7 linked regions of the Macaca fascicularis genome follow. The protein of the gene in region 1 purifies or fractionates together with the protein of each later gene. This does not show direct contact. Links are inferred from orthologs where the notes say so. Each region holds a gene or a part of one and is shown in the gene's direction. Other genes may lie near its edges.

What was found.
Region 2: the proteins of RACK1 (region 1) and SRC purify together in Homo sapiens (affinity purification with western blotting; 4 studies listed by BioGRID, with this or other methods). This does not show direct contact. The link is inferred for Macaca fascicularis from reciprocal best matches to the Homo sapiens genes RACK1 and SRC.
Region 3: the proteins of RACK1 (region 1) and HELZ purify together in Homo sapiens (affinity purification with mass spectrometry; 3 studies listed by BioGRID and IntAct, counting the BioPlex papers as one, with this or other methods). This does not show direct contact. The link is inferred for Macaca fascicularis from reciprocal best matches to the Homo sapiens genes RACK1 and HELZ.
Region 4: the proteins of RACK1 (region 1) and TNRC6C purify together in Homo sapiens (affinity purification with mass spectrometry; 3 studies listed by BioGRID and IntAct, counting the BioPlex papers as one, with this or other methods). This does not show direct contact. The link is inferred for Macaca fascicularis from reciprocal best matches to the Homo sapiens genes RACK1 and TNRC6C.
Region 5: the proteins of RACK1 (region 1) and LARP4 purify together in Homo sapiens (affinity purification with mass spectrometry; 3 studies listed by BioGRID and IntAct, counting the BioPlex papers as one, with this or other methods). This does not show direct contact. The link is inferred for Macaca fascicularis from reciprocal best matches to the Homo sapiens genes RACK1 and LARP4.
Region 6: the proteins of RACK1 (region 1) and IGF1R purify together in Homo sapiens (affinity purification with western blotting; 4 studies listed by BioGRID, with this or other methods). This does not show direct contact. The link is inferred for Macaca fascicularis from reciprocal best matches to the Homo sapiens genes RACK1 and IGF1R.
Region 7: the proteins of RACK1 (region 1) and HDLBP purify together in Homo sapiens (affinity purification with mass spectrometry; 3 studies listed by BioGRID and IntAct, with this or other methods). This does not show direct contact. The link is inferred for Macaca fascicularis from reciprocal best matches to the Homo sapiens genes RACK1 and HDLBP.

What each region holds. Positions count from the first base shown.
Region 1 is NC_088380.1:188,337,021-188,341,606, reverse strand, and holds the start of RACK1 (small ribosomal subunit protein RACK1), read left to right. Parts: upstream 1-1,444; 5' UTR 1,445-1,548; coding exon 1,549-1,657; exon of another isoform or gene 1,658-1,669; intron 1,670-1,944; exon of another isoform or gene 1,945-2,012; intron 2,013-2,996; coding exon 2,997-3,168; intron 3,169-3,450; exon of another isoform or gene 3,451-3,529; intron 3,530-3,644; coding exon 3,645-3,792; intron 3,793-4,586. UniProt on the Homo sapiens protein: Scaffolding protein involved in the recruitment, assembly and/or regulation of a variety of signaling molecules. Interacts with a wide variety of proteins and plays a role in many cellular processes.
Region 2 is NC_088384.1:93,506,341-93,510,364, forward strand, and holds part of SRC (proto-oncogene tyrosine-protein kinase Src), read left to right. Parts: intron 1-1,130; coding exon 1,131-1,280; intron 1,281-2,654; coding exon 2,655-2,810; intron 2,811-4,024. UniProt on the Homo sapiens protein: Non-receptor protein tyrosine kinase which is activated following engagement of many different classes of cellular receptors including immune response receptors, integrins and other adhesion receptors, receptor protein tyrosine kinases, G protein-coupled receptors as well as cytokine receptors.
Region 3 is NC_088390.1:73,622,446-73,626,469, reverse strand, and holds part of HELZ (probable helicase with zinc finger domain), read left to right. Parts: intron 1-1,086; coding exon 1,087-1,285; intron 1,286-1,741; coding exon 1,742-1,849; intron 1,850-2,834; coding exon 2,835-3,132; intron 3,133-4,024. UniProt on the Homo sapiens protein: May act as a helicase that plays a role in RNA metabolism in multiple tissues and organs within the developing embryo.
Region 4 is NC_088390.1:84,529,619-84,533,642, forward strand, and holds part of TNRC6C (trinucleotide repeat-containing gene 6C protein), read left to right. Parts: intron 1-707; coding exon 708-778; intron 779-1,648; coding exon 1,649-1,788; intron 1,789-2,715; coding exon 2,716-3,076; 3' UTR 3,077-4,024. UniProt on the Homo sapiens protein: Plays a role in RNA-mediated gene silencing by micro-RNAs (miRNAs). Required for miRNA-dependent translational repression of complementary mRNAs by argonaute family proteins.
Region 5 is NC_088385.1:57,286,228-57,290,251, forward strand, and holds part of LARP4 (la-related protein 4), read left to right. Parts: intron 1-24; coding exon 25-128; intron 129-3,041; coding exon 3,042-3,152; intron 3,153-3,887; coding exon 3,888-3,941; intron 3,942-4,024. UniProt on the Homo sapiens protein: RNA binding protein that binds to the poly-A tract of mRNA molecules. Associates with the 40S ribosomal subunit and with polysomes. Plays a role in the regulation of mRNA translation.
Region 6 is NC_088381.1:83,518,000-83,522,658, forward strand, and holds the start of IGF1R (insulin-like growth factor 1 receptor), read left to right. Parts: upstream 1-1,720; 5' UTR 1,721-2,740; coding exon 2,741-2,834; intron 2,835-4,007; exon of another isoform or gene 4,008-4,245; intron 4,246-4,659. Other genes in the region: uncharacterized protein, read right to left, coding at 318-363, 452-1,146. UniProt on the Homo sapiens protein: Receptor tyrosine kinase which mediates actions of insulin-like growth factor 1 (IGF1). Binds IGF1 with high affinity and IGF2 and insulin (INS) with a lower affinity. The activated IGF1R is involved in cell growth and survival control.
Region 7 is NC_088386.1:137,179,161-137,183,184, reverse strand, and holds part of HDLBP (vigilin), read left to right. Parts: intron 1-660; coding exon 661-879; intron 880-2,920; coding exon 2,921-3,142; intron 3,143-3,386; coding exon 3,387-3,605; intron 3,606-4,024. UniProt on the Homo sapiens protein: Appears to play a role in cell sterol metabolism. It may function to protect cells from over-accumulation of cholesterol.

The sequences.
Region 1 (4,586 bases):
TGCTTCTTTACTGTCCACACCATGTAATGTAGATACTAATGTTATTTCCAATCTCATTTCACAGATGAGAAACAAAAGTTGATAGATGTCACAAATAGAAATGTGACATCTTTATTTTGCATAGATGTTGGTGGCTGCTATCATCCTGATATGTCCCCCTGTTTAAAACTACTTGAAGAGACACGGTGCCCAATACTGTCTCTTATAGTCAGATGTGAGAGAATGAGAGTCATTACTTGTTTAAATTCCTGAGGTAGAGTGGAAGGCAGAAGGACAGCTAGGTATCCGTATTCCACCGCTTCCCTGTCTGGGCACGTCCTTCAGGGTGCAACTGGACCCCCAGACGCCTGGGCTTTTGTGTGCAGTGACTGGGCCCAGAGAGAGCTTTCCAGTGGATGTCCCCAGAAGTCAGAACTTTAAGGTCCTCCTTTGGGCGTTTCCGTTTCTGCGAGAGCTTCCCGTGTTCTGACCTAGGCAGGAATGGATTGGCAGTCTAGCAACACACAGGGCAATTTTCACCTTATTATTTTATTGTATGTATGTATGTATTTATTTGAGTCGGAGTCTCGCTCTACTGCCCAGGCTGGAGTGCAGTGGCGGGATCTCGATTCACTGCAACTTCCGCCTCCCAGGTTCAAGGGATTCTCCTGCCTCAGCCTCCCGAGTAGCTGGGATTACAGGCACCCGCCACCACACCTGGCTAATTTTATTTATTTATTTATTTATTTATTTATTTATTTATTTATTGGAAAGAGGTTGCATTATGTTGGCCAGGCTAGTCTCGAACTCCTGACCTCAAGTGATCCACCCCCTCGGCCTCCCAAAGTGGAAGGATTACAGGCACGAGCCACTGCGCCCGGCAAAAAGAGACCAATTTTTAGTACATCCAGAGTAACCCTCTCCTGCCTTAGTCCAGCCTGGACTAAGTCCTTCCGGAGTTGGTGTGCATCAGAACAAAAACCTCTTGAGGGAGGACGGTCCCGCGGAAGCACAGTTTTAAAGTTTATTTTTAAAATTTTAATGCCATACTTTTTTAAATTGCCCATCGTTACCCACGATAGTGAACTGAAAATTAAGCTCTCCTGTGGTTGCCCCGTCAACCCTCCCCGCACCAAGTGGAACAGGCGGAGCTCGAGCTACGCCACATAGGGGCGGGGAAGCCGCCAGGGAGTCCTCATGGGAATGTGCCGTACACTTCACCTCTTTCGCTTCTCGCTCTACATCATCCCTGAGAAGCCTTTTTAAACACTTGAATGTGCTTGTTTCAGAATGTATTTATAAAGCGCTGTCAGATTATGTTGTACGGAAGTGGGGACTGTGATGCCGTGCAATTTCCCTTTGCCTTTTGCATTACATGGCGCCGCCATCTTGAGCAGAAGTGTATCATGGGGCTCGCCATTTTACTTGGTCGAGTGGGTATTTCCGGTTCCGGCAGAGGGCTTCTCTCTTTCACTGCAAGGCGGCGGCGGTAGCGGCTGTGTTGCTCGTTTCTCTGAGCCATCCAGTGCCATCCTCGTCGCTGCAGCGACACACGCGCTCGCCGCCGCCATGACTGAGCAGATGACCCTTCGTGGCACCCTCAAGGGCCACAACGGCTGGGTAACCCAGATCGCTACTACCCCGCAGTTCCCGGACATGATCCTGTCCGCCTCTCGAGGTACGGACTAAGGTAGATTTCAGGACCCGAGATTGCAGGGCTGGGGGATTCCGCGTGGTTCGGGCAGGCCGGTGGCGCGCGCGCTGTCGGGGACTGACAAACTTTTCTGCCTCACTGTGATTTGGGGCGTGCGGACGCGAGCCTAGGCCTCAGCCCGGGCGAGCCACATTGCAGATGAGGACCTAGACGTAGAGCGGCTCGTGGCTGTTAGGGTTGGAGAGCTGGAAACTTTTAAAACATCTTCTGCCTTCCCCTTCGTAGTGTGGTCGGGGGCCTACGGCCCGGGCGGGGCGGTGATGACCCCAACATGCCATCTGAGTGTCGGTGCTGAAATCCAGAGGCTGTTTCTGAGCTGCCGCCCGGCCCAAGGCTCGTGGGGAGGCGGGTGGACTCCAGAGGACCTCGTGGCTCAAGTCTCGTCCTACTTTTTCTGCCCCTGGGTCTCCCCTCCCCGTCCCTATCCCTGTGTGCCTGACTGCGTTTGGACACTTGTTGTGCTTCCCCTTTGCTCCTACACTGTTAAGAATTGTGTGACTCTTGAATCGTGTCTGGCTGTTAATCGTAAAATTGTTGAGTGGGACAGGTTTCAGTAAAAGCATCCGATCCTGTAGCGCCTAAAGTGGCTTTTCCAGCATTCATTATAACATTTCTGTCGGCCCTCAGAGGGAGGCATGGGAGGCCCCAGCTACTCTACAGCCACGAACTGCTGTGCATTCGGTTGCAGAGAAGATACGTGGTGGCTGTTGAGTTCGTCTGAGTTTCAGGAAAGGGTGTCTGTAATTTCTGGCACCTAAATTAAGTTCTCAGGATACAGACCGGGCACGGTGGCTCACGGCTATAATCCCAGCACTTTGGGAGGCAGAGGCGGGCGGATCACCTTAGGTCAGGAGTTCGAAACTAGCCTGGCCAATGGTGAAACCCCATCTCTAGTTTTTAAAAAAAAAAAAAAAAAGTTAGCCAGGCGTGCTGGGGGCGGCCTGTAATTCCAGCTACTAGGGAGGCTGAGGCAGGAGAATTGCTTGAACACGGGAGGTGGAGGTTGCAGTGAGCCGAGATCATGCCATTGCACTCCAGCCTGGGTGACAGAGTGAGACTCCATCTCAAAAAAAAAAAAAAAAGAGTTATCACGGTACAGTTTAGCTCTGCGTGCGTTTTTAGTCTGGAATAGAGCCACTCAGTCCTGGCCTGTAACTGCTCTTGTAGTCTGTTGTTCCATCCCTCCTTAAGCATCCTTAGTTGTTAACCCACTCATGACCTTGACACTTAGTGAATTATCCAGTGTGTTAACAAACTGGCTGCGGGTTCCTCACTGGTTTTTCTTCTGTTTGGCCGCTTTTAGATAAGACCATCATCATGTGGAAACTGACCAGGGATGAGACCAACTATGGAATTCCACAGCGTGCTCTGCGGGGTCACTCCCACTTTGTTAGTGATGTGGTTATCTCCTCAGATGGCCAGTTTGCCCTCTCAGGCTCCTGGGATGGAACCCTGCGCCTCTGGGATCTCACAACGCAAGTAGCTGCTCACTTAGCTCTGGGGCCTTGGGAAAAAATCTGGGCAGAAATGTGGTGGATGCAATTGGCTGGTTTCCCAGGGGAGATCCAGTCCATTTGGGAACTGGAAAGCAGACTGCACCTACAGAAGATGTTTGGCCTCCCTCGCTTTGAATTAGTTACTCAGGATTGCTGAGGAGTGTGGTTGAACATTTCTACCAGGTGCGACAGTTTTGAGTAGGCAGCAGTTTGAACATGTTTTACCTTGAAAGCTGAGGTGATTGGCAGGTGGAATTAGAGGGTCCTGGTGATGACAGATGACATTGTCAGCCAATCCCCATGTGGGAGTGAGGACATGTCCTGCAATTCTGAAGGGATTCTCTGTCATATATGTGTGAGTAATGCAATGAGACAGAGACAAGGCCCAGGAATCAGTCTGACCCTTGAATGAGAATGTTTGTTAAGTCTGAGAATGACAAAGTCCTCCCTCTTAGGGGCACCACCACGAGGCGATTTGTGGGCCATACCAAGGATGTGCTGAGTGTGGCCTTCTCCTCTGACAACCGGCAGATTGTCTCTGGATCTCGAGATAAAACCATCAAGCTATGGAATACCCTGGGTGTGTGCAAATACACTGTCCAGGTAAAGTGAGGCCATGGTCAGAGAGCACATCTCCAAGGATCTCTCCCACTCTCTTAACCTTTACTTTTTTTTTTTTTTTTTTTTTTTTTTTTTTGAGACAGTCTCACTCTGTCGCCCAGGCTGAAGTGCAGTGGCGCTGTGTCAGCTTACTGCAACCTCTGCCTCCCAGGCTCAGGTGATTCTGGTGCCTCAGTCTCCACAGTAGCTGGTGCTACAGGTGCGCACCACCAGGGTGGTCTCGAACTGAGCTTAGGCAGTCTGCCCGCCTCAGCCTCCCAAAGTGCTGGGATTACAGGCGTGAGCCACCATGGCCTGCATATCTTTACCCTTTTTTTTTTTTTTTTTTTAAAGACAGTTTTGCTCATTGCCCAGGCTGGGGTGCAATGACGTGACCGCAGCTGACCACAACCTCCGCCTCCCGAGTTCAAGCAATTCTACCTCAGCTTCCCAAGTAGCTGGGATTACAGGCATGCGCCACCACGCCTGGTTTTGTATTTTTAGTAGAGATGGGGTTTCTCCATGTTGGTCAGGCTGGTCTCGAACTCCCAACGTCAGGTGATCTGCCCGCCTCAGCCTTCCAAAGTGCTGGGATTACGGGCGTGAGCCACCGTGCCCGGCTCTCTGCCTTTTTAAAGTCTTGGCTGGGCTCATGCTCTGGTAGGCCAAGGTGGGAGGATTGCTTGAGGACAGGAGAGCAGCCTGGCCAACACAGTGAGACCCCATCCATAAAAATTTTTATTTATTTTGAGATGGAGTCTCACCCTGTTGCCCAGGCTGGAGTGCAGTGTGCGATC
Region 2 (4,024 bases), on another chromosome or scaffold:
ATGCCTGTATGTGTATGCACGTATGGCCAGGGTTGGCTTCAGTCTCAGGCCTGTGGCTTCCACATGCACCAGCCAGGCCGTCCGTAGAAAATCACGGTCGCCCAAGGCAGGTTTTGAGTCCTCGGGTGTGGGTTTGAGCCCCAGCCCTGTCTCTGGCTTGCCGGGTGACCCCAGGCTGGCCACTCCCCTCTCTGGACCTCATTTCTTCTGTACACTGGGATCGTAACCTCCTCCTGAAGATTGCAAAGGGGAGGTCTGTGGGCTAGGAGGGCTCGGCTTCCCCCATGCCTATGCACTGCCTGGCCAGGCTCCTGGGAAGGCCGTTCCTGGCCGCTGGAGCCTCTGCCCTTGCCTCCAGGGCTCAGCCTTGTTCCCTGATGCCATTTGGGCGTCTCTTGGCCTCTGGTCCTACCTGGGCCTGCTGGATGGGAGGAAACTTTTCTGGCCAAAAGCTTTTCTAGGCTCAAGAGAAAGAGGGGAGGCACCAGGGCTGGCCCTGCTTGACCCAGGCAGCCTTCAGGCCACACCCAGCCAGTGGTCTCCTGCCCACGACAGCCAGCCTCTGCCAACCACCCCCTCCCGCCTGACCCTGGGCCTGTCTTTAGAAAGGAGGTGGGTGGGGGACACGGACAGTGCCCCCGTGAGCCGATCCAGAGAGGGAAAGCAGTTAGGCCAGGGCCACACAGCAACAGGGAGCCACTCACAGGCTCCCAGCAAACAGTTATTGAGTGCCTGCTGTGTGCCTGGCCCTTTTATATGTGGTGGCATGGAATCTCCCCAGCAGCCCTGGGAGCACCCGCATTGTGCAGAGGAGGAAACTGAGGCCCAGAGAGAGCCAGTAACCCCTCCAAGTTCCATAGCTAGGATGCCCACCTGAGATATGGGGGTCTTGCTGGGGCCAAGGGTGCGTGGCAGGACGTTCCAATCAAGTGTCTCTTGGGTCCCTTGGCCCTACCTCTGTGGCTGCCCCGGGGCTGGCTGTTGAGAGACAGGGTGGGCCGCGGGCCCCGCCTGGGCCTCCCTTCCCTCCAATGTCAGGCAGGCACAGAACGGTGTCCAGAGCAGCGCTGAGTGCTGCGGCCTGTGGGAGAGAGGGCGTGGCGGTCACGGCTCCCCTCTGTGCCCTGCAGGTGCCTACTGCCTCTCAGTGTCCGACTTCGACAACGCCAAGGGCCTCAACGTGAAGCACTACAAGATCCGCAAGCTGGACAGCGGCGGCTTCTACATCACCTCCCGCACCCAGTTCAACAGCCTGCAGCAGCTGGTGGCCTACTACTCCAGTGAGCCAGCCTCGGAGGGCGGGCGGGCAGAGCCTCAGCTGCAGACCCTGGGGAGGGGCTTTGGAGCCTAGAAGGGTGGGGTCTTCTGTTATCCTGTGATGCCAGGTTTCCTGCTCCCCTCCCCACTTTCTCCCTCCCCCTTCCCTTCCTCTCTCCTCCGTTTTCCCTACTTTCCTCCGTCTCCTTCTTCTTCCTCTTCTTTCCCCCGACCCGCTCCTCCCAGTCCCCGTCTCTCCCTGCTCCTGCTCTGCAGCTGGCTGGTATGGAGGGGGCTGCCCTGAGGAGCCCAAGAGTGAGCTGGAAGGGAGGGGACGGAGGCTGGTGTCATTTGTCTATGTAGCCCTAGGACCGGTCTGAACCGGTTGCTGGGAGAGGAGGAGGGGGCGGCCAGATCGATTGCAGCAGAGACGGAGAGAGCGGCAGAGGGAGCTCGCGGGGCTTGCGTGCTGGGTGAGGGCTCGGGCGTGGGCGCAGTGCTGTAGCCCACCCACCTGGGCGTCCGGAGCTGACTGCAGTGTCGGGGCCTGTGGGTGCCTGTGGGTACCTGTGTGCCCATGTGTCTGTGGCACGCGTGGCCTCTGTGTGCAGGTGTTGGTCCACTTCCCACCCCAAGTCTCCTCCTCCTCTCAGCTCGGCCTCCTGACTTCCTCTGGGATCACCCACCACGCTCTTGTCTCTTCGGCCACCGCTGTGTGGCTCATGCTGAACCCCGTTCCCTCAGATCAGAACTCTCCAGGGGCTGTCTTGGAATCTTGGGATAAAGACCCCCACCAGCCCCCAAGTGGTCTAATCCCAGCTGCCTCCCCACCTCCGCCTGGTGCCGCCCTTCCCCACCTGCTCCCTGCAGCTCCTTTTGCCTCCGCTTCTTCAGCCCTGCAGCTATTCTTTCCTCAGAGCCTTTGCTCTGGCTGTGCCCCTGCCTGGAGGGCTCTTCCCTGCTTAACCCCTCACCCTCCTGCACATCCAAGCTCAGTTGCTGCTTCCTCCAGGAAGCCTCCCAGGACCCTCCTGCTGTTGCGCGAACAGCTCTCCTCCAGTCACATTCATGTCTGTGGTCCTGGGAGGTGATTAGGGAATTGAGGCTCCTCCCTGGACTCCGAGTTCCTGAGGGTAGATTCCCTGGACGTGTTCCCCGCAGGGTCCCTGGCACCCCCTACTGTCTGCTGAATGACTGACTCAGCAGATGCATAAAGCACTGTGGGCCTGTGTGGGGGTGGGACTGTGTGCACATAGATGTAGATGCCTGGCTTTGAGGGCGCCCTGGGTGTCTCCTGAAATCTGCGTGCATCTGGCATGTAGGGTGACACACACTGAGGGGCAGGGAGGCCCCAGGGCAGAAGCCCCCCCTAACTGCTCCTCTTGCCTCCTCCTCAGAACACGCCGATGGCCTGTGCCACCGCCTCACCACTGTGTGCCCCACATCCAAGCCTCAGACTCAGGGCCTGGCCAAGGATGCCTGGGAGATCCCTCGGGAGTCACTGCGGCTGGAGGTCAAGCTGGGCCAGGGCTGCTTTGGCGAGGTGTGGATGGGTAAGGCCTGGCCCCTGCCCTCGGGAGAGGCATCCATCCCCCACCCCGTGTGGCAGCTCTGGGCTCTGTTGGTCCCTTTGCCTTTAGCTGCCTCTGCTGGACGACGGGGCCCTGTTGTAAATCTGGAGCCCCCCAGCGGTGGCTGGCACCGAGTTGGGATGTGGCCCCCCAAGTGCTGTGCCCCAGACCGTGTAAACCATAGCACCTGATTCCAAGATCCGCACAGGGCTGGGCATTGCACAGACCTGCTGTGTAGGCTGGGCCCGGTGGCCTCACTCGGAGTCTCAGTCTTCCTGACTATGAATGGGGCTGGTGACAGTGGGACCTATGGGAGGCTGTGGAGGCCATGGCCCAGTGCTTGTCCACACACCAGCTGTTAGCCATGGAGAGAGAAGCCTGGCTCGTGGGAGGAGGTGCTGGGAAGCTTAGTTCTGGCATGGTCTGAGCCTGTTAGTGATTTCCTGTCTAACCCTGGAGAAACAGCAAAGCATGAGCACCGTGCAGCCCTGACAAAACCCAGGCCCCTTGTCCACCGGTTGCTTTCTGCTCACACAGAGGGACCAGAGGCCAGGGTGGAGGTGGGACAGCACTTGTAAGCCCGTAAGCCCATGGTGCTAGCGGGGATCACGGTGTGCTGTTTTCAAGGTGGTTTCATCTGAGCCGCATCTCCGCTCAGTCCCACTGCCTCCACTCTCCACCCTCCAGAGTGCTGATGGAGGACAGCAGAGAGGCCTCCTGGGTGGAAGGCACTGCAGGGACAGAGGCCTGGAGGCTGGAGGTCAGGCCGTCTGGAAGGGGGAGGCGTGGGCTTTGAGCTGGTGAGAGGGGAGAGGGGTGAGAAGCCAGGGTGTGAGCACAGCCACAAAGTGAGGACTTGAGCGAAACCTGGGTGAATGCACAGCGTCAGCCATTCTGGTGGCTGCAAAACTCATTTCTGGCTTTGGTGAGTGGTGATGACCCTGGGAAGGGCCTCACTTCCTCCCTGGGTGCTCCAGGTCGACTCATGAAGTGCCACATGCAGATGGCTTGAGCCAGGAGGACCACAGAGGTGGGCCTGAGCCCTAACCCTCGGAGAGAGGCCCAGTGACTGGGAGGAATGGGCCCAAGGTCACACAGCAAAGGAACCTTGAGTCCTGCTGGCACAAGAACCTGGATTAAACATGCTGGTCTAGAATACAGCTTCCCCCAGAGCCCCCAGTTAGAAAAGCAGATAG
Region 3 (4,024 bases), on another chromosome or scaffold:
AAAAAAAAAAAAAAGAAAAATTTTTTGGCCGGGCGCGGTGGCTCAAGCCTGTAATCCCAGCACTTTGGGAGGCCGAGACGGGCGGATCACAAGGTCAGGAGATCAAGACCATCCTGGCTAACACGGTGAAACCCCGTCTCTACTAAAAAATACAAAAAACTAGCCGGGCGAGGTGGCGGGCGCCTGTAATCCCAGCTACTGGGGAGGCTGAGGCAGGAGAATGGCCTAAACCCGGGAGGCAGAGCTTGCAGTGAGCTGAGATCCGGCCACTGCACCCCAGCCTGGGCGACAGAGCGAGACTCTGTCTCAAAAAAAAAAAAAAAAGAAAAATTTTTTAAGGTCCTTATCATTTTGGGAAGTAGGGCATACCTGTGTGTGAGCAGCAAATCCACTTGATGTCAGTGTTGCTTTAAAAAATCCTACTCTGGCTGGGCATGGTGGCTCACACCTATTATCCCAGTGCTTTGGGAGGCTGAGGTGGGTGGATCAATAAATCAGGAGTTCAAGACCAGCCTGACCAAGATGATGAAACCCCGTCTCTACTAAAAATACAAAAACTAGCCAGGCGTGGTGGCAGGTGCCTGTAATCCCAGCTCCTTGGGAGGCTGAGGCAGAGAATTGCTTGAACCTGAGAGGCAGAGGTTGCAGTGAGTTGAGATTACGCCATTGCACTCTAGCCTGGGTGACAGAGCGAGACTCTGTCTCAAAAAAGCCCTCCAAAAAAACGAAAACAAAAACAAAACCCAGTTATTCTAAGAGGAATTGTCTAATAGAGTCCTTATATGACCAAAGAAGCTATTTTTCAGTGCCTCTTTTGGAGGGCCAACGTGAATACCTATGCCTTAGGATCCCCTAATTCCAGAGAAAGTCAGTGAATAATATGGGGAGTTGATGTTTTGATTAACTGTTGTAAATGTTCTCTAAACCTCTTCTCCCTCCTTTATATAAGACAGTATGATAAATGTGGCCTTTCAGCACATGAAGTTTTGTTTTTCTTATTGAAGAATCAGAGGGCAAATGCTGGGAGTTTATTTTTAAATGGTTCAACAAAGTATATGATAAAACAGTCTTTCCTATTCTACTTAGATTTTTAGAGCAAGGAATATGTAGGTATGGTGCCCAGTGTACTTCAGCACATTCCCAGGAAGAACTAGCAGAATGGCAGAAAAGATATGCTTCACGGCTGATAAAATTGAAACAGCAAAATGAGAATAAACAGCTCTCAGGCAGTTACATGGAAACGTTGATAGAAAAGTGGATGAATTCATTGTCTCCTGAGAAAGTGGTGAGGAAAATAAGCTACATTGTTTTTTGTTTGTCTTAAACAGTGAACTTGAGTCTTGACTTTGTTATGTGCTCTATTTTGGTTTATTTCCTTATCTTCTTTGCAAAGAACTTGATTCTGATAGAATGATGTTTTTAGTAGCTGTAGTAGACCCATTTGTTAAAATGAAGAGCAGAACTAAGCCGTTTGCTTGAAGATTTGCCTGTACCATATTAATTACCTTCATTCAGGCAGTTTTTGAGTGCCATTTTGTGGTGGTGATTAATTTTCTTCCCTCTCATTTTAGCTTTACTATATTTTGTTCTTATCAAAATTACTGAAAATGAAGGTATAAAATACTTTACTCTGTAAACAGTTCCATCATCATCTTAACTGTTAACATTTATTTTCCATGCAAAAGATTTTGTTTGTGCCCTTAGCAGTAAAAACATAACGTAAATTGCTTTCTGTTTTCAGCTTAGTGAATGTATAGAAGGAGTAAAGGTAGAGCACAATCCTGACCTGTCAGTTACTGTCAGCACTAAAAAATCCCACCAGACATGGACCTTTGCTCTCACCTGTAAGGTATGAATTTTGTGCTAGTTAAAGCATGTAAGTTGTGTTTAATTTTGTCAACTCTTGTGACCTTTGAATCTCTGTGTTAAAAGAATATTGAAAATATTTTAATCTAAACATATTATATATAGGTTCTAAAGTGTATTTCTGTATTTTGATTATTAAAAGTACAATTTAAAAAATACTTTTAGATGAAATCTTTGTAGATATTTAGGATGCTATCATATTTATTTATTTGGTAAAGAGATCTTTGACATATTGTCTTCTAAACTTGGGACATAGGGTGGGGTTCATGGCTTATAATTAACTACTTAAAAATTGTTTAATATAGCAGTTCTAAGATTTTTAAACCATAACAACTTGTTTTTATATTTGGTATGATGAAGTCACACATTCTGTGATAATAGGTTTTCAATATGGGGCACTTTCTGCAGTGCTTCCCATCTTAAATTATAGTAGTCAAAGTTTAAGACTGAAGCAAAATAAACAGTTTCTATGAGTATGCTCAGTGGAAAAGTTTTTGTCTTTTTCGTGGCATTTCTTCCGCTGTACTTTCTGTATCTGGGGATGAAAAATCTAAGAACAGTTAGCTTCAGCCTTGAACCCAATCCATTGCTTTCAGAGGTAACTGCCCTCTTATGAAGGCTTCCTACTTGAGGCTACATGAAACTTTTGTAGGCAAAGAGTATGGAAAGTTGAAGGTTGATGGGTATATAGGGTGATAGCTTTTGCCACAATGAAAAATGAACATGTCATAGAAAGAGAAGGGAGGCTAACGATATAGCATAAATATATAATTTTAACAACTGATTTTTCAAAAACCCTTCTGATTTTTATCTTAAATGGCTTATAAGCACAATTTGTGTTTTAACATAGTATCGTAGAAGCTTGGGGAAGTAAAAGTCCCTTATGGAGATATTTTCATTGAAGAGCCCAATTACAATTGGATTTTTCACCCCTTTGTACTCAATGAATTATTTTAACTTCCTTGTAGCCTGCAAGAATGCTGTATCGTGTAGCATTGCTTTATGATGCTCATCGTCCTCATTTTAGTATCATTGCAATATCTGCCGGAGATAGTACTACCCAGGTATCACAAGAAGTCCCAGAAAACTGTCAAGAATGGATAGGAGGAAAGATGGCCCAAAATGGATTAGATCATTATGTGTATAAAGTCGGGATAGCATTTAACACAGAAATATTTGGAACTTTTCGCCAAACCATAGTTTTCGACTTTGGATTGGAACCAGTACTCATGCAAAGAGTAATGATTGATGCAGCTTCTACAGAAGGTAATATTTAGACTTTTTTCCCCTGATACAATGTATTAAAAAGCAACATTTAAAGATATGTATTGGCCCCTGAATATATTCCATGGATAGGAAGAGAATAATAATAATGAAAAAAATCGCAGATTAATTGACTTATTTACTGTGTAATGGGCTTATAATGGTTCACACTGTGCCCTGATTTCTTCATAGAGCCACCAGGCAAAGCTTGAGCTTTGGGGTTCCCCCAACTTGTTTGAGTAGATGATCAGGCCTGTTTTGGTCTACCAATTTCATTTCACAGTAGGATGGTTTTAGCACAGTAATATCTTTCAATATTAGTTTGGGTAGAATATCATTTTAATGGTAATTGTGTATATACCTACAATGTTTATTTTCATGTCCTATTGACTAGTTAACTTTGCTGATGTTAGTACATTATTTCTGAATGAAAAGTCTTGAATATAATAAGCCTTCATAAATCATTTTGTGTATCCACTAGCGTTAAGGAGGCCAAGGTGCCTTTAATCAAATCTGCTCTTTGTTTTTGGAAAGAGGTCCCTGGTTTCAACATGTTAAGTGTGATATAAGAAATTACTTTGTACATTGTCAATTTATTGCTTACACCTAAATTTTATGCCAAGATCCAACAGGACAAAGAAAGGGCATGTTAGCCCACATTTCCTTTGCTCTTAGTTGGATTTATAGGTGTTCTATTCTGTTTAACAAAAACTAAATATTTATTTAACAAACACTTCAAAAAGCAGAACTGTATGAAACTTGTCTTTGTATTGACTAAAACTAACCATATTGTGGAGGACGTTTTTTACTATGTACCATAATGTGCCATTCATGAGAACCTAGAAGAAGTTGTTTTTCTTATGAGCAAATGCTAGACTTTTATTTTTTTGCAAAT
Region 4 (4,024 bases), on another chromosome or scaffold:
GTGGCTGGGGAGGCCTCATAGTCATGGCAGAAGGTGAAAGGCACATCTCACATGGTGGCAGACAAGAGAGCTTGTACAGAGAAACTCCAGTTGTTTAAACCGTCAGATCTTGTGAGACTATCACGAGAACAGCACAGGAAAGACGTGCCCCCATGATTCAATTACCTCCTACCACGTTCCTCCCACAAAACATGGGAATCATGGGAGTTACGATTCAAGATGAGATTTGAATGGGGACACAGCCAGACCATATCAGATAGTTTGAAAGTAATAGTTTCTGCCTTTTAGCAGCAGTCTTTAGGGATTTGCTCTGTTGTATTAACCAGAAGAACCTGGGAGCACTGATTCCACACCAGGTCTGGGGGCAGGCAGAGGTGGAGACCAGAGCTTTCCTGGAGATTGTCAGGCCTCTCACCCCCGTCTCTCCTGGCACAGATGGGAAAACACGGGTCTCCGGGGCTGGCGGGAAGATCCAAGAAGTCAGAGTCACCACGGGGAAGTGGGAAGGGGGTCTGCAGGAACTGTGAGGTTTTGGTTTACGAAAGAAAGTATGGACCTCCCAGGCTGAGAAAGGCTGTCCTAGATCATGTGGTGATGGTCCGTGATGGCCCGTGCTGTCCCACACTTCAGCACGGTAAGAGGTGGGGAGGCCGCACTATCCACTGGCACCGGGGCCTTGTCAACCGGGTTCTCCCCTCTTGTTGCAGGTTCTGCCTGGAGCACCGACGCCTCAGGAAGAACCAGCAGCTGGCTCGTTCTTCGAAACCTCACTCCCCAGGTGCAGTACGGTGCCCCTGTGTCGCTGAGCATGATCCAAGGAGGGTTCCCTCTTGGCCCCCGATGCAGATGAGGCTGTCTGGTGGGGCGGGATAGTCGGGGGTTCTTGGTCAGGGTCCAGAGGTGATGCTGCACGGGAGGAGATGAGCAAGTGCCAGGCTTGGCTCCAGCAGCAGCAGCAGATGGGGTCCAGGGGTCTCTTTTAACCATGTTCTTGGTGAATTGTTTGTTTACCCACTAGAGGCTGGAAAAGTGTGCTCTGTAAATAGAATTGTTTATCTTACAACTACCCATTCAAGAGTGGTTGGGCCTGGCCGGTTGCAGTAGCTCACGCCTGTAATCCCAGCACTTTGGGAGGTCGAGGCCAGGGATCACCTGAGCCCAAGATTTGGAGACCAGGCTGGGCAACATAGCAAGACCCCATGTGTGTATTTTTATAACATTTTTTAAAAGAGTGGTTTGGCCACGTCAGACTGTGGGGCTAGCCAGTCCCTTCTTGGGACCCAGGCCACACCCACCTACACATCTCCCAAGTCTGTTGTCAGCAGCTAGACCCAGGTGCCTTTTGCAAACCAGGGGCTCTGTGTGATGTGCTCTGGTGAAAGGAGAGCTGAACTCAAAGTGGGGTTTTTCTCCTTCCTCTGATTAGCCTAACTCATAAAATATAACTGAAACATCCAAGATTTTAGTTACACGTTTGGCCACAGAGATACAGAATGTGAACATTGTAAAATCACATATTATTAAAGCCTTTTAAAGAAAAACATTTTCCTAGTGTTTAGTGTATCCAGTTTCATGTTTTTTCTTTGGAAGGCTGTAGTGAAAGAAATCAGAAGAAAGCTCATTCATGCCCCTGTGCTTCCTCTGTCAGATTGATGGTTCTACACTGCGGACATTGTGTTTGCAACATGGGCCTCTCATCACATTCCACCTGAATCTGACTCAAGGCAATGCCGTGGTCCGGTATAGCTCCAAGGAGGAGGCTGCCAAGGCCCAGAAGTCTCTGCACATGTATGTTTCCTCACAGCCACCTCAGCGCTCCAAGTAGCTCCACATCCCCCAGAGCATTAGGTTAGGGGTGTTGCAGGGGGGTCCTGAGCCGCCATAGCAGCATCCCACAGGCTGGCCACCCTCCCGCTTCTGGAGGCCGGAGGTCTTGACACCCAAGATGAAGGTGTGGGCAGGGCTGGTTTCTCCTGAGGCCTCTCTCCTTGGCTATAGACAGCTGCCCTCTCCCTCTGTTCTTACATGGTCGTCTCTTTGTGCATGTTGGTGCCCTGATATAAGGACACCAGTCATGTTGGACTAGGGCCCACCCATGTGACCTCATCTAACTAACTTAATTACCTCTTTAAAGACTCCATCTCCAAACACAGTTACATGGGGAGGTACTGGGGGTTAGGACTTCAGCAAAAGAATTGGGGGAAGGCGACACAGGTCAGTTCTTCACAGGTATCTTGAGACTTATTGTTTTTTTCTGCTGCTGAGTTGCTGTGTCTACTCCCCTCTGCCTGTGACACATTCCTACACAGGGCCCAGCAGCGGTCCTCACAGCCAACCCTTCACCCTGACGAAAGGTTGCTTTTGATAGAAGTATAAGTAGACCTGATCAGTAACATCACTTGAGACATGGAACCTAGAAATTAGTCATTCCTGTTTTTAGCCCAGGATGCAAATGACAGTGACCCTAAATGAGCCCACATTTAATGGTGTGTTCATGCACTTGAAGATGTACTCTCTGTACCAGTACGGTGTTGCTGCTAGAAGTCTGAACTGAGCAAAACCTTCACAGTCTGGGTTTGGAAATAGCAGTGGCAAAACAGAAGCCACACGATGGCTTCCAGGTAGCCTTTCCCAATACGAAGACAGAAAGCCGGTGCCACGAACTTAGCAGGACTTGGGGTGGCCCTGCTCACGTGCCCCATCTTGCTGTTGCAGGTGCGTCCTGGGAAACACTACCATCCTGGCTGAGTTCGCTGGCGAAGAAGAAGTGAATCGCTTCTTAGCCCAAGGCCAGGCGCTGCCACCCACCTCCAGCTGGCAGTCCAGTAGCGCGTCCAGCCAGCCGCGGCTCAGCGCAGCGGGCAGCTCCCATGGCCTGGTGCGCAGCGACGCTGGCCACTGGAATGCCCCATGCCTGGGTGGCAAGGGGAGCAGTGAGCTGCTGTGGGGCGGGGTGCCCCAGTACTCCAGCAGCCTGTGGGGCCCGCCCAGCGCTGACGATAGCAGGGTGATCGGCAGCCCCACCCCTCTGACCACCCTGCTGCCTGGGGACCTGCTCAGCGGGGAGTCCCTGTAGGAGCTGCCATCATCAGCACCAGGAGAGCCGACCCCTCCCGGGACCCCTCCCAGATGGGCGGCCCCACAGACCCGCTGGAACCCAGCAGCGGCCACCCTTTTGAGTACCTCTGTCCAGGACTGAAGACGAACCTTGGCCACAGTCCTTGCGAACTGTTCGCAAAACAGTGCGGGCTGCGGTGGGTCAGCGTCACATGCTAATGACAGGATGTTCCTCGTAGCTTTTTATTTTGTGTGTCTTATGTTTGTATAGTGTGTTGTCATTTTGATTTTTTTTTTTTAAAGTATAAAAGCTGCTTAGAATAGTTCTATCATGAAGGGCACTTTTCAGATTGTGGGCTGGAAAGGGTTATTTTATCTGTGGGGGAGGGAGGGAGACGTGAAGCCTATTTAAAATGAGCCTGTGACGATTATGCACATTACCAGAGGCGGCCGGTAATCAGGGCAGAGTCTGGTGTGGACCGCCGGGCGCAGAGCGGCTCCACGGTAGGAGCTGAGCGGAAGGCGTGGGCTGCGATCTGCTCTCTGTTCCCCTGGATCCGCCTATGCACATTACCCTTGTTTCATTACTTTTTCATGTCATTTTTTTATCCCAAAAAATATTTTTTAAAAGTTAAAAAAAGACATATCAAACATGCAAATACTTGAATCCAGCAGGCCAATAGTGAAATGTGAACACTTTCTAACTCTACACTTCCAGGCTGACATCAGTACACAGAAACAGGCTCTAGGGAAAATTTCTAAGTTCATAGCCTCCATGTGTGTGAGTGTGTGCGTGTTGAAACAGAAGTGTGTGTGTGTGCGTGTGTGGCGCGTGCTCCTGCACAGCGTGCATTTTCTGTGTTTGTGTGTTTGAAAGCGTGTGAGGATTTAACTGTGGGTTTTCCCTTGTATTCAGTATATGCTTTTTTTTTTGGCGCATTGGTCAAACGTTTGTTATTATTAGCTT
Region 5 (4,024 bases), on another chromosome or scaffold:
GATACCCTTTCTTTTAAATTTCAGCTTCTCCCATGGTGCAAGTTGATGAGAAGGGTGAGAAAGTGAGACCAAGTCATAAGCGTTGTATTGTAATTCTTAGAGAGATTCCTGAAACAACACCAATAGAGGTAAATTATTAATAATTGTTAACGCTAAATGTTCTCTGTTTAAATTGAAAGAGGTTCTTCTGCTTTCCGTGGCAAAGAAAAGAAATTGAAAGAGGTACACAAGCAAAGCGTAAGCCAGTGCCTTCATCAGTTACTGTGAAAAGGTTAAATATTAATTTGTTTCATTAATTCTGAAGTACTAGTATGGTATAGGGGAAGGAAAAGATATAATTCTGTTTTCTTAGAAGGGTAGACAAAGTGTTGCAGTGAAACATTCTGAATTTACTAGATTGATTCAGTGGCAACTAATATATAAATAGGCTATTTTGGGAACTTGAGAATTCATCTGTAAGAATGAATAACCAGATTTTGATTAAGGATTCAGGAGGCAAGGCTGGGTGCAGTGGCTCACACCTGTAATCGCAGCACTTTGGGAGGCTGAGGCGGGTGGATCACAAGGTTGGGAGATCGAGACCATCCTGGCTAACATGGTGAAACCCCGTCTCTACTAAAAATCAAAAAATTAGCTGGGCGTGGTGGTGGGCCCCTATAGTTCCAGCTACTTGGGAGGCCGAGGCTGGAGAATGGTGTGAACCTGGGAGCTTGTAGTGAGCTGAGATCGCGCCACTGCACTCCAGCCTGGGCTACAGAACGAGACTCTGTCTCAAAAAAAAAAAAGGGATTAAGGCGGCAGGACTAACCCTATTGTTCAGCAAAATATTATATAAAGCAAAGTTGCAGTCATAAAGATGGTATGGTACACATACCAGAATAAAATAATATTTGAATGAAACATTGTAATCAATTTGACAGTTAGATTCTACCAGTTATTACTTTGCAGTTATTTAAAGCCAAAGGTTTTATTATCTGTTTTACTGATGAAGTAACTGATAGTTAGGCTGGTTGCATAGTTTGCTCAAGGACATAAGGGCTCTTAAATGACAGGAGTTTGGGTTTGAACATAATCTCTCTGATTCTAAAGTCCATGTTTCATAATCACTGTGTCACAGAGCTTCATATTAAGTTGCCATGATAAGGTGATATATATTAAAGAAGATGAGGATTAGTTAGTAACTGACATTGTAATTGATTAGCTATTTAGAATAGAATTTTATTTTATTTTATTTTATTTTTTGAGACAGGGTTTCAGTCTGTCACCCAGGGTGAAGTGCAGTGGCACAGTCACAGCTTACTGTAGCCTTGACCTCATGGGCTCAAGCGATCCTCTCACCTCAGCCTCCTGAGTGGTTGGGACTACTGGCGCATGCCGCCATTCCTGGCTAATTTTTGTACTTTTTTGTAGAGATGGGGTTTTGCCATGTTACCCAGGCTGTTCTCAAGGCCCTGGGCTCAAGCAGTCTGTGCACCTTGGCCTCCCAAAGTGTTGGCATTACAGCCGTGAGCCATTGTGTCCTATTTCATTATCTTTTTTACGGTTATTATAATTCATATTCTGAATACATAAGGAGTTCATACACATGAAAAACAGTAAAACAAGGCACCAAATGTTTTGTTGGGTTTTCAAGTTTTTTGTTTTTTGCTTTTAAATTTTTTTTTCATGTTAAAAAAAGTTTTTCCTCAATCAATGGTTTTCTGTGACAGGGTCTTGCCGTGTCACTAAGGGTGTAGTACAAGTGGTACGATCATAGTTCATTGCAGCCTCAAACTCCTTGGCTCAAGCAGTCCTCCTACCTCAGCCTCCCAAGTAGCTGTGACTACAGGAGCCAGCCACCATGCCCAGCCAATTTTTACTTTTTTTTTTGGTAAAGACAGTGTCTGGCTATGTTGTCTAGGCTCGTCCTGAACTCAAGCAATTCTCCTGCCTCAGTCTCCCAAAGTGCTGAGATTACAGAAGTGAGCCACTGAGCTCTCGGGCTGCATTTGACCTTTGCTATTTCAGTAGATATTTTCTTTCCTTCTGTTACCTTTTTTTTTTTTTTTTTTTTTGAGACAGAGTCTTGCTCTGTCGCCCAGGCTGGAGTGCAGTGGCGTGATCTTGGCTCACTGCAAGCTCTGCCTCCCGGGTTCACACCATTCTCCTGCCTCAGCCTCCCGAGTAGCTGGGACTACAGGCGCCCGCCACCACGCCTGGCTAATTTTTTGTATTTTTAGTAGAGACGGGGGTTTCACCGTGTTAGCCAGGATGGTCTCGATCTCCTGACCTTGTGATCCGCCCGCCTCGGCCTCCTAAATTGCTGGGATGACAGGCCTGAGCCATCGCGCCTGGCCTGTTACTTCTTAAGTATACTTAATGTTCACTTAACTTTTTTTTTTAATCTTCTTTCAATCCATTAACAGATTTACCATTTTAAGTTTTGTAGTCACCCTTTTTCTGAATCCATGTAGCTGTCAGAGTTTCTGTTTACATTTATACTAATTATGGAAAAAGGAAGATATGTTTGCACATTAACTCACATGTATGTTGTAAGCAAAGCATCTGGATTAAATGAGAATGCATGAAAATTTTTATTGCCTAGAAAATGTTAATGAAGGATATCACTTGTCCTGTGGCAGGCCAGACAGGAAAAGGACAGGGGAGATTTCACTATAAGGAGCGTTTAGCTTGCCAGTGGAAGTGAAATACTTATGCTTTGCTGATCGTAAAATAAATCATCCCAAAATCATGTACAAAATACATCTCCTGGCCAAATGGAGTGGCTCGTGCCTATAATCTCACCACTTTGGGGTGCTCAGGTGGAAGGATCGCTTGCATCCAGGAGTTTGAGACCAGACTCAAATATATCTCCTATTAACTCTATTTGTTTTGGAACACAGCCTATCCTCAGTAGAAAAATGGGCAAAAGTTAACAAGTGAAGTGATAGAAAGGACCAAAAACATGAAGATATGCTTAACATTACTAGTAAATAAACAAGCAAAAAATGCCATTTATTGATGTATTTTTTAGAGTTAACTAATTTTCTTTTTCTTTTTAGGAAGTGAAAGCTTTGTTCAAAAGTGAAAACTGCCCCAAAGTGATAAGCTGTGAATTTGCACACAATAGCAACTGGTATATCACTTTCCAGTCAGACACAGATGCACAACAGGTAAGAAGAAAACAGTTTTCTGATACAGGTCCATCCTAGTGGCAAAATAAGTAGTGGTATATTTTAATTGAGAAAATGTGTGTTTACACTGATGTTTATCAAGATTAGTGAGTACCTTGATTTACCTTTTTGCTTTTGCTCAATTGATGTCCTTTTTGATCATCTTCCTAAAGTTTTTCAGTTTTGATTTAGGAAGTTTTCTGGTCGACAAGAATGTTAACGTAACAGTTTTAAAATTAACATAGGGATTGAGAACTATGTACCCAGTGGTATTTTTAGTACATAATAGGTCTGCAATAAATAAAATTCTTGGAATTTTGACTTGATGATTTTATTCTTAATTGTTAACATGTCTTAAAGAGAAATAATCCTTTAAAACACAAATATATCTATGATAAGAGTGTTTAAAAATCACTCACAGATTTTTGTTTTTTAAAACAGTTTAGTAGAAAGTTGTCTGATCATTTTTAAATTGGTTTCTGGGGATATTTTGGGTCTGTTTTCAATCTTAAGGCATTTTTTCTGCAGTAATCCATGGTGGCTTTTCTACAATAAATATGAACTGTGGTTGAGAAGGCCTTATATTTTTACTTTTTCATTCCCTGTCCACCTGCACAGTGGAATCACCTACATAATTTTGTTTTTATAGTTTAATACTAAACTCTCAACATAATAAAGATGACTTTACTGAAATGTTTGGATGCTAATGAAAGTTTTCTTGTGCTTTGTTAACAGGCTTTTAAATACTTAAGAGAAGAAGTTAAAACATTTCAGGGCAAGCCAATTATGGTAAGAAATAGAGGAGATCAGTGTGAAACCAGAACAGGTTTTGGTTTCTCTGTATGAGAATTTTAAAAATACAGACAGATAAT
Region 6 (4,659 bases), on another chromosome or scaffold:
TGCAGAAATCTTTTAAAATTAGAGAGTAATAAAAGAAACCTACTACCTTCGTTTACATCAGGTCCCCTCTTACCATTCTACCCGATTGTTTATGAGACAACCACTTCTTATCTCGACAATTCACAACTCTTTTATTAGCCATCCTAAAAAAATTTATTATTGACATCAATTAGCCTGAGTCATGAAATCGGACCACATTAAGGGCGACACATGGTCCAATTACTGTTTGTAAAAGTCCACGTATTTCAAATTCCTCTCTCCTGCCATTGCTGGGCTGTTTCCCTCTTTGAGGACCTGGTCTCCGCAGCATTTATTCATTAGATGGCAGTCCTAGGGAAGTCTCGCTTTGGGGAACCTCTCCTCCTGCACATTCAAGAAAACCACCGCGGAGAGTTAGGGTCGGTACTGGTTTCTAGTCACTTACGTAGCAAACGAAGCAAGAGGAACGTGCCCGGGAGGACTCAAGACAGGTGCGGTTGGGTTTTCGCAGTAGCCGCTGATCCCGAGTGCATGCCGCCTGTTCCCGGGTCGGGACCGCAGCCAAGGGAGGCTTCCCGGCCCCAGCCTCCACCCCCTTCTCGGGGCCCCGGACACGCCCCCCAGCTTCGGAGCCCCGCAGCGTGCACGCGCCCCGGCCGCTCCCCACAGCCGCCCACGTGGTGGAGCCCTGAGCCGCGCGAGGCCGCTGAGAGCGCTCGGGGCGGGCCGCTGGTCCGGGAGGCCCCGCCAGCGCGACCCAGCCGAGTCGGTCCCCAGCCCGGGCCCCCACATTTCCTCCCCCGGAGGGAGGGAGGCGACTCTCCGCGTGCTGCCCTCCCCGGCGCCCGCCGCGCCCTCTGGCGGCCGCCGCGGGGACGCGCCCTGGGCACGCGGGGCCGCCTGTCTGAGCCCCCCTTCCGGGGCGCGGGGCCCGACCGGGGGGCTGCGGGGTCCTGTCTCCTCGCGCCACTCCGGGTCGAGCCACGCGGGCCGCGCCCTTCCCCCTCCGCTCCCCGCAACTCCGGGCTCCCCGGTCTCAACGCCGCGGGTGCCCCAGCCTGGCGTGAAAGTGCCCAGCGTAGTAGCCTGGGGGGGTCTTCTTTTTCCCAGGTGCGCCCCTTCCGCCACGTTCGGGCTTTCCAGTACATAGCGAAAAAAATGCCGCATGCACGCACTTATTTATTTTGCAACAGCTGCAAGGAACAATGAAGCTTTTCAAGAACCAGGGAAACGCGCTTTCCAGCCGCGCTGTTGTTGTTTTCAATGAACCTCTCCCAGCACCGCACTCCCCGCCCACCCCTCCCCTCGCCTGCCCACCCCGCCCCTCGCCTGCCTACCCCTCCCCTTCCTAACCTTTCCCTGCCTACCCACCCCTGCCCCGCCGAGACCGGGTCGGCGGCGGGGGCATTGTTTTTGGAGTCGGGCGGGAGGGTAGGGCGCGTGCGGGGTGGCCGGCGCAGTGGTGCACTGGTGGGGGCGGGAGCGGGTGGGCACGCGCGCGTGTCTCTGTGCGCGCGCGGGAGTCGGCGGGGCGGGACATGGGGGCGGCGCTTGCAGTCTCGCGCCCCACGCCTGGGCTCCGCTCCGCACGTCTCGGGGATCCCGGGCTCCGGTTTTTGGCTCGTGCCGGCCTGGGCCGGGCCCTCGGCGCGCCGCTGCTGCGGCGGTGGCCGCTCGAGTGTGCGAGCGGGCGCGTGTGCGCGGACCCGGGCGAGCGCGCGCGCGCGAGCCCCCAGTGTGTGGCGGCGGCGGCGGCGGCGGCGCGGCGAGGCTGGGGCTCTTGTTTACCAGCATTAACTCCGCTGAGCGGAAAAAAAAAGGGAAAAAACCCGAGGAGGAGCGAGCGCACCAGGCGAACTCAAGAGAGGCGGGAGAGCGAGAGGGACGCCGCCAGCGAGCCTGCCCGCGGCCGGCGCTCGCAGACCCTCGGCCCCGCTCCCCGGACCCCCCCCGCGCCCTCCACGCCCCTCCCGCGCGGGGGCAGCTCCACGGCGCGCCTCGCCTCGGCTGTGACCTTCAGCGAGCCGGAGCCCCCGCGCAGAGCCGGCGGCGGCGGGCGGGGGCCGGGCGGGGGCAGCGCGGGGCGGGCGGCGGCGCAGAGCCGGGCGGCGCGGCGGGAGTGCTGAGCGCGGCGCGGCCGGCCCGCCGCTTTGTGTGTGTCCTGGATTTGGGAAGGAGCTCGCGGCGGCGGCGGCGCTGAGGGAGGAGGCGGCGGCGAGCGGAGCCCGGAGGAGGAGGAGGAGGGGGAGCCGCTCATTCATTTGACTCCGGGTTTCTGCCCCTCGCCGGCCTCGCCTGCGACCCGGACTTGGGGCGATCTTGCGAACTGCGTCGCGCCCTCCCGCGGCGGAGGCTCGGGCGTCCGGCCACCTCCCGCGCGGCAAGGGCCGGGCTTGTTTTTCCTCGCCGAGGCAGATTTGGGCTTTGCCCCCTTTCTTTGCAGTTTTCCCCCTTTCCTGCCTCTCCGGGTTTGAAAATGGAGGCCGACGACGCCGACAGCCCGCCCCGGCGCGCCTCGAGTTGCCGACTCCGCCGAGCCCTGGGCCGCTGCTGCCGGCGCTGAGGGGCCGCCCCGTCCGCGCACCCGGAGGGCCCCGGCGGCACCGCCTTCGGAGTATTGTTTCCTTCGTCCTTGTTTTTGGAGGGGGAGCGAAGACTGAGTTTGAGACTTGTTTCCTTTCCTTTCTTTTTTTTTCTTTTTCTTTTCTTTTCTTTTTTTTTTTTTTTTTGAGAAAGGGGAATTTCGTCCCAAATAAAAGGAATGAAGTCTGGCTCTGGAGAAGGGTCCCCGACCTCGCTGTGGGGGCTCCTGTTTCTCTCCGCCGCGCTCTCGCTCTGGCCGACGAGTGGAGAAAGTGAGTATGTGCCCGCCGCCCGCGGCCACTGCGGGAACTTTTCCTTCGAGGGGCTGCGCCCTGTTTGCGAAACCCGAGTTGCCACCGTCGCAGCTGTCGGGCCCCCGGGCTCGGGAGCGGCGGGGCGGGGCGCGGGGTGGCTCTGCCGGGAGGGAGGCTGCGGCGGACCTGGGATCCGGGCTCGTTCGTCTGGAGCCCAGCGGGCCCTGGCTCCGCACATCCCCCGTGCTGGAAGGGCCTGAGGGGCTTTCTCTCTAGTCGTGCCGACAGTCCTGTCCCCCGGCTAGGCTCGAGGACTCGGTAGGGAAGTTGGTGCCGGGGCGGGCACCAAGGGTTCCCAGGCCCCGCGACCCGCACCTCGCCCCTCCGGAGCGCACGAGCCTCTCCGCACATAGCGCTGATCCCATGCGGCGCGAAGGCAGCGGGGACTGCACCCTGGGCCGCACCGCGTCTCCGCTGCTGGGGCTGATCCGGCAGTGGGGAGCAGGCATCCGCCCGGCCCGCGGGGTGCGAGTTGCCCTTGAGGGGGGAGGTGCCCTGCGGAGAGGCCCCGAAGCCCCAGGACACGTCTCCAAGCGCCTGGCGCTGCCTCCCGTCGCCCAACATGCATTTCCCCTCGGGCTCCTAGGGTTCCTGGCCTTGCCCGTTACTTTGGCCCGCTCCTCGTTGGGTTACCTGCCCCTGGCGTCCCGGGGCTGGGCGGTGGGGTGAGGGGAAGCGCTCTCTGGGCAGCTCCCCGGGGAGTGCGAGGCCGGGAGTCTTCCTCAGCTTGTCTTTTACGGGGAGCGCCACTGGGCCCCCAGTTCAGAGGGCTCTGGGATGGCCTCTCAGTTTCTCCCGGGCAGGGGCATGGAGGGGTGCTAGGGCCGCATCCGAATGTGCGTTGGTGGGTGTGTGGTCGGAGCCGACGTGCATTCCGACACACGTGCTCGCAGCGCGGGGTGTAGTCGCCGCCTCACGGGGACACCGAGACGCCCGTCCCTGGCGAGAGGTGTCCTACGCTGTGGGTTTCAGGAGCGCCAGGGTCTGCGGCGGTGGGGGAAGGGTGTTGTGTTTTGCGAGCGCGGAGCCCTGGCCTTGGTTTTGTTGTGGCCGGCGTCGTGTCGCCCTCCCTTCTGCCGCCGCGCACTTCCTTTGTACGCAGTTAATAAGCAGTATCGTTCCATACTCGCTATGTTTTGCAACCTGATAGCTTTTGTTTTGGTGGTGTCGGGTAGGGGTAGGTAGGGAAGCGCGGGGATGCAGGGAGTGGGAACTCCCCCCAGTGTGTACAGCCACAGGAGGTGGGGGGTTTATTCTCAAAAAATTGAAAGTGTGGCTTACTGGTACATTCAAGATAGTGGGGTAATTTGAACACGATTAAAAGTTTAAATGTCGCAGAACTGGGATCGGGAACGGTGAGGGCGTGTTGGTGAGTAATGGTAGCCGAGGGTATGCAGGTGGTGCCGATTAACTTCGAAAAAAATCACGACTGAGCCTTCAAGAGTGAGGGGGAGAAGTAGGAGGCAGCGGAGGTTGTCTGGCCCCATCACTGGGGCAATTCAGAAAGGCTGTTTCTATAAACAAATCCTTAAACGTCTCTTAAGAAATGAGTGCGCGACAGAACGAGAGCAGATCGTGGTTCGCGTGTTTACTGCCGAGTGGGACGCGGACTGGGGCCGGACCTTGCACAGATCTGGGCTCTCATGCTCTTTGTTTTCTAAACTTTAAGCGGACTCGATTGGGCGAAAGCCTTCCGGCTCCCTTTACTAAGTCGTTTAGGTGGTGTTTGAGGGGGACAAAGGAGGGTTTTTTATCTTTAAATGATAAGTACGGTTTAGAAGAC
Region 7 (4,024 bases), on another chromosome or scaffold:
GAGTGGCTGGTCTCCAGATCTCGGAGGTTCTCGATGCCAGTCTCTTTGGGCTCTGACCTCCTGTTCTTGCTATCTTGGATGGTTCCGTTTCCTCACCTTTCTGTACTGTAGCAGCAACTTGGGGCAGTTGTAGGGCTCACCTTGTTTCCTGTCTCCAGGGTTGTGGAAATCACCATTAGGCAGTAAGTTCAGTCCAGTCCCTGGTATTGCATCTTGGCTGAAAGCAGAACCTTTGGTTTTAATAGGAAAAGTTCATCCATAGGCATATGGACCCACCTCTGGCAGAGCCGGAGAGTTGACTGAAGAAGAGCATTATGTGTGGTCTGAAATTACCACGCTCCTGCCCTCCAACCCAACACACGTCCACGAGGACGCTGGGTCCTGTTGAGTTAAACACCTCCCAGTGCGTCTGCTCTGCTGGGCGCACCCCACTCTCCCCAGGACGTGCACTCTGCCAACACATTATCCAGCGCGTTGCTCCCTCCTCTCCCTGTGCAGATGAAAAATGGCTTGGAGAAGTTTGGTCAGTGCTTTGTAAGTGGCAGCACCAGGGTTCTAAGCCTGTGTGTTCATCACCACCAAAGATGATAGTTTATCTTTTCCTCTGCCCTTTTTGCCACAGAAAGTGACTTCCTCCTCCTGTTGTGTGTTTGGTTTCAGGCCAACATAGCCGAGGTAGAGGTCTCCATCCCTGCCAAGCTGCACAACTCCCTCATCGGCACCAAGGGCCGTCTGATCCGCTCCATCATGGAGGAGTGCGGCGGGGTCCACATTCACTTTCCCGTGGAAGGTTCAGGAAGCGACACCGTTGTTATCAGGGGCCCTTCCTCGGATGTGGAGAAGGCCAAGAAGCAGCTCCTGCATCTGGCGGAGGAGAAGGTGAGCATGGGGAGGGAGCGTGACTCTTGGCAGGAAGCCTGGTCCTCACTACAGTGTTTTGTCTTCTCTTCTCACTGTGGAAAGCCTTAAATGCCCTTCCTTTGTGGCAGGTCAGAAAACAGCTCTGTAATATACTTGTTATGCCTCTTGGTTTTGCTGTCACTGGAGGGCCTTTCCAGGTCCGGATGCTCATGTATACAATATGTAAACGGTGCTCTTTGGCTTATTGGCTTTGGGGTGCGTTTGTCTTTTAAGTATGATTTACAGTAAAATTGACCATTCTTCAGGTATAGCTGAGTTTTACTTAACATGCAGACATGTGACCACAATAATCAAAATTCATTTTCATCACCTCTAAAGATTGCCCATTGAATTGCTGTTGTCCCTGTGTCAAAACCCATCTGTGGATATGTTTCCGGGCTCTTCTGGTGACACCAGACTTATGGGAAGTCTAGAAATCAACAGTGTAAGCCCTCTCAACTGGCTGCTCTACATCCCTTGGTGAATTAGCCTGTCAGTTTGTAGGAAAAAAGCATTTTCATGCTTTGATTGGGGTTGTGTTAAATCAAAAGATGAGGCTGGTGAGGACTGACAGCTCGGCAGTCTTGACTCAGTCATTTCTCCATTTTTTTTTTAGGTCTGTGATTCTTTATTGGTGCTTTATAATTTTTAGCATACAGAACCTGCACATTTTTATGTTCGACTTAGCAGATCTAACTGCTGTCATTCTTTTAGCGCTATTGTAAATGGCACTTTTTTTCCATTTCCAGTTGTTAGCACGTGGAAGTACTTGTGATTTTTGTATGTGGACTTTCATGAGACTGCTAAATGAAGCTCATGCATGTTAGTGCCAGTCACTTTTTTGTGAATTCTTATTTTATATGTAACAATCACGTGGTCTGTGGAGTTGTGTTTCTCTCTAATCTGGAGCCTCATATTTCTTGTCTTTTTTTGTTGTTGTTGTTGTTGTTGTTAAGATTGTATAGGTTGATTTTTTTTGTCTTTATGTTTAACCAGCCTTGCATTTCTGGGTAATCCCTACTTGGTTTGGTGGTTTGTTTTTTACCATATTGCTGGATTGGATTTGCCTAATTCATTGCCTGATTTTTGACTAATGCGCTATTCGTGGGTGTCTTTGAAAAGTAGCAGAGTCTCTAGGTGGTATTTGGTGAAACCTGCCCTTAAAAGATAGCAAAGTTGTTATTTAGTATTTTTATGCTAGCACATTTTTCTTTGGTATTTTTGCTTGCGGGCCAGGTCTTGGGTCCAGAGAAAGGCAAGAGCTATCCTTGTGGATCTGAGTCACGTAGAGCAAGCAGCACACTTCTCTGTGTTCCCCTGCATGAGTCTGCCAAAGGCACTGGTGTCCACAAGTACAGTGTCCAGGGCCTTTCGAGGACCCTCATTTCTTGTTGCCACACAAGGGTGTTGTGCTACATGAGGCCTCTGAGGGCTGGTCTCTACCTATAGCCTTGGTTGGCTTGTGTCCCTCTGAGCTTGAGCTTGGGGAGTAGCTGGTTTTGTGGGGGCTGATCTGTAGCACTCGTGGGAGGACAGGAAGCCTGGCCCAGATTTGTGCGCGCTTGGTCTGGAAGCAGGTAGAAAAGTGGGAGCATGGGGCAAGCCTCTTGGGCAGCTTGCTTCCTGCTCTGCTGGGCACACCCCATGCTCCCCAGGACGTGCACTCTACCAACACATCGTGCAGCGCGCTGCTCCCTTCTCCCCCTGTGCAGATCAAAAATGGCTTGGAGAAGTTCGGTCAGTGCTTGTCAGTGGCAGGACCAGGGTTCTAAGCCTGTGTGTTCATTACCACCAGCATCTGATTGTTGTGGAAGAGAAGTATGTGTGCGGTCTGTCTGGGTATTCATCTGTTTATTCAGTGAGGTGTGCTGGCCCCATTTTGGGGGTATTGGTGCAACATCAGGACACTGGTGACAATGTAAGGGGAGCCTGACCTTGCTGTCCTTCAGGCCCTCTTGTCTTCCTCACTGTGGTCCAGGCATGTGGTGTCAGGCTAACAGAGCGGGATTGGTTTCTGCAGCAAACCAAGAGTTTCACTGTTGACATCCGTGCCAAGCCAGAATACCACAAATTCCTCATCGGCAAGGGGGGCGGCAAAATTCGCAAGGTGCGTGACAGCACAGGAGCACGCGTCATCTTCCCCGCGGCTGAGGACAAGGACCAGGACCTAATCACCATCATTGGAAAGGAGGACGCCGTTCGAGAGGCACAGAAGGAGCTGGAGGCCTTGATCCAAAACCTGGTAGGGAGCGGGCCGTGGCAGCCGACTCTGCCGGGGCCGTGGTGGGGAGCGGGCCTCGGTGGCCGACTCTGCCGGGGCCGTGGTGGGGAGCGGGCCTCGGCGGCCGACTCTGCCGGGGCCGTGGTGGGGAGCGGGCCTTGGCGGCCAACTCTGCCGGGGCCGTGGTGGGGAGCGGGCCTCGGCGGCCGACTCTGCTGGGGCCGTGGTGGGGTGGCTTATCTTCCATCTCTTCTTAACACTGCAGGATAATGTGGTGGAAGACTCCATGCTGGTGGACCCCAAGCACCACCGCCACTTTGTCATCCGGAGAGGCCAGGTCTTGCGGGAGATTGCTGAAGAGTATGGCGGGGTGATGGTCAGCTTCCCACGCTCTGGCACACAGAGCGACAAAGTCACCCTCAAGGGCGCCAAGGACTGTGTGGAGGCAGCCAAGAAACGCATTCAGGAGATCATTGAGGACCTGGTAGGCACTTGGGTGCTCGGGGACGGGTTCTCAGCCCCCAGTGGCCACTCACCAAAGCCATGTATGGGTGTTCCCTCCACCCTGCAGGCAGGTGACTCCCTCGTACGGCCCCGGAAGGCTTCAGAAGGGGCTTTCAGGTGCTTGCTCTTCTTTCCTCAGCCTGTCTGGCCTCCTTCCTGATAGTTGGTGAGAATTCTGCCTGTGAGAAGCACTTTAAAAAAAAAAAAGAGAGAGAGAGAAGAAGAAGAAGGGGGGGGGGGAAGAAAGCAAGAGAAAGAAAGAAAATGCAGTCTGTAAGGGGTCAGAAAAAATGGAAATGCAGTCTGTGTAAGGGGCCAGCTCACTCCTCCCCTCTGTGAAGGAAAGAAAATCGATTTGAGGGCATCCACGTGAATCCACAGGAAGTCACGAGAAGACGT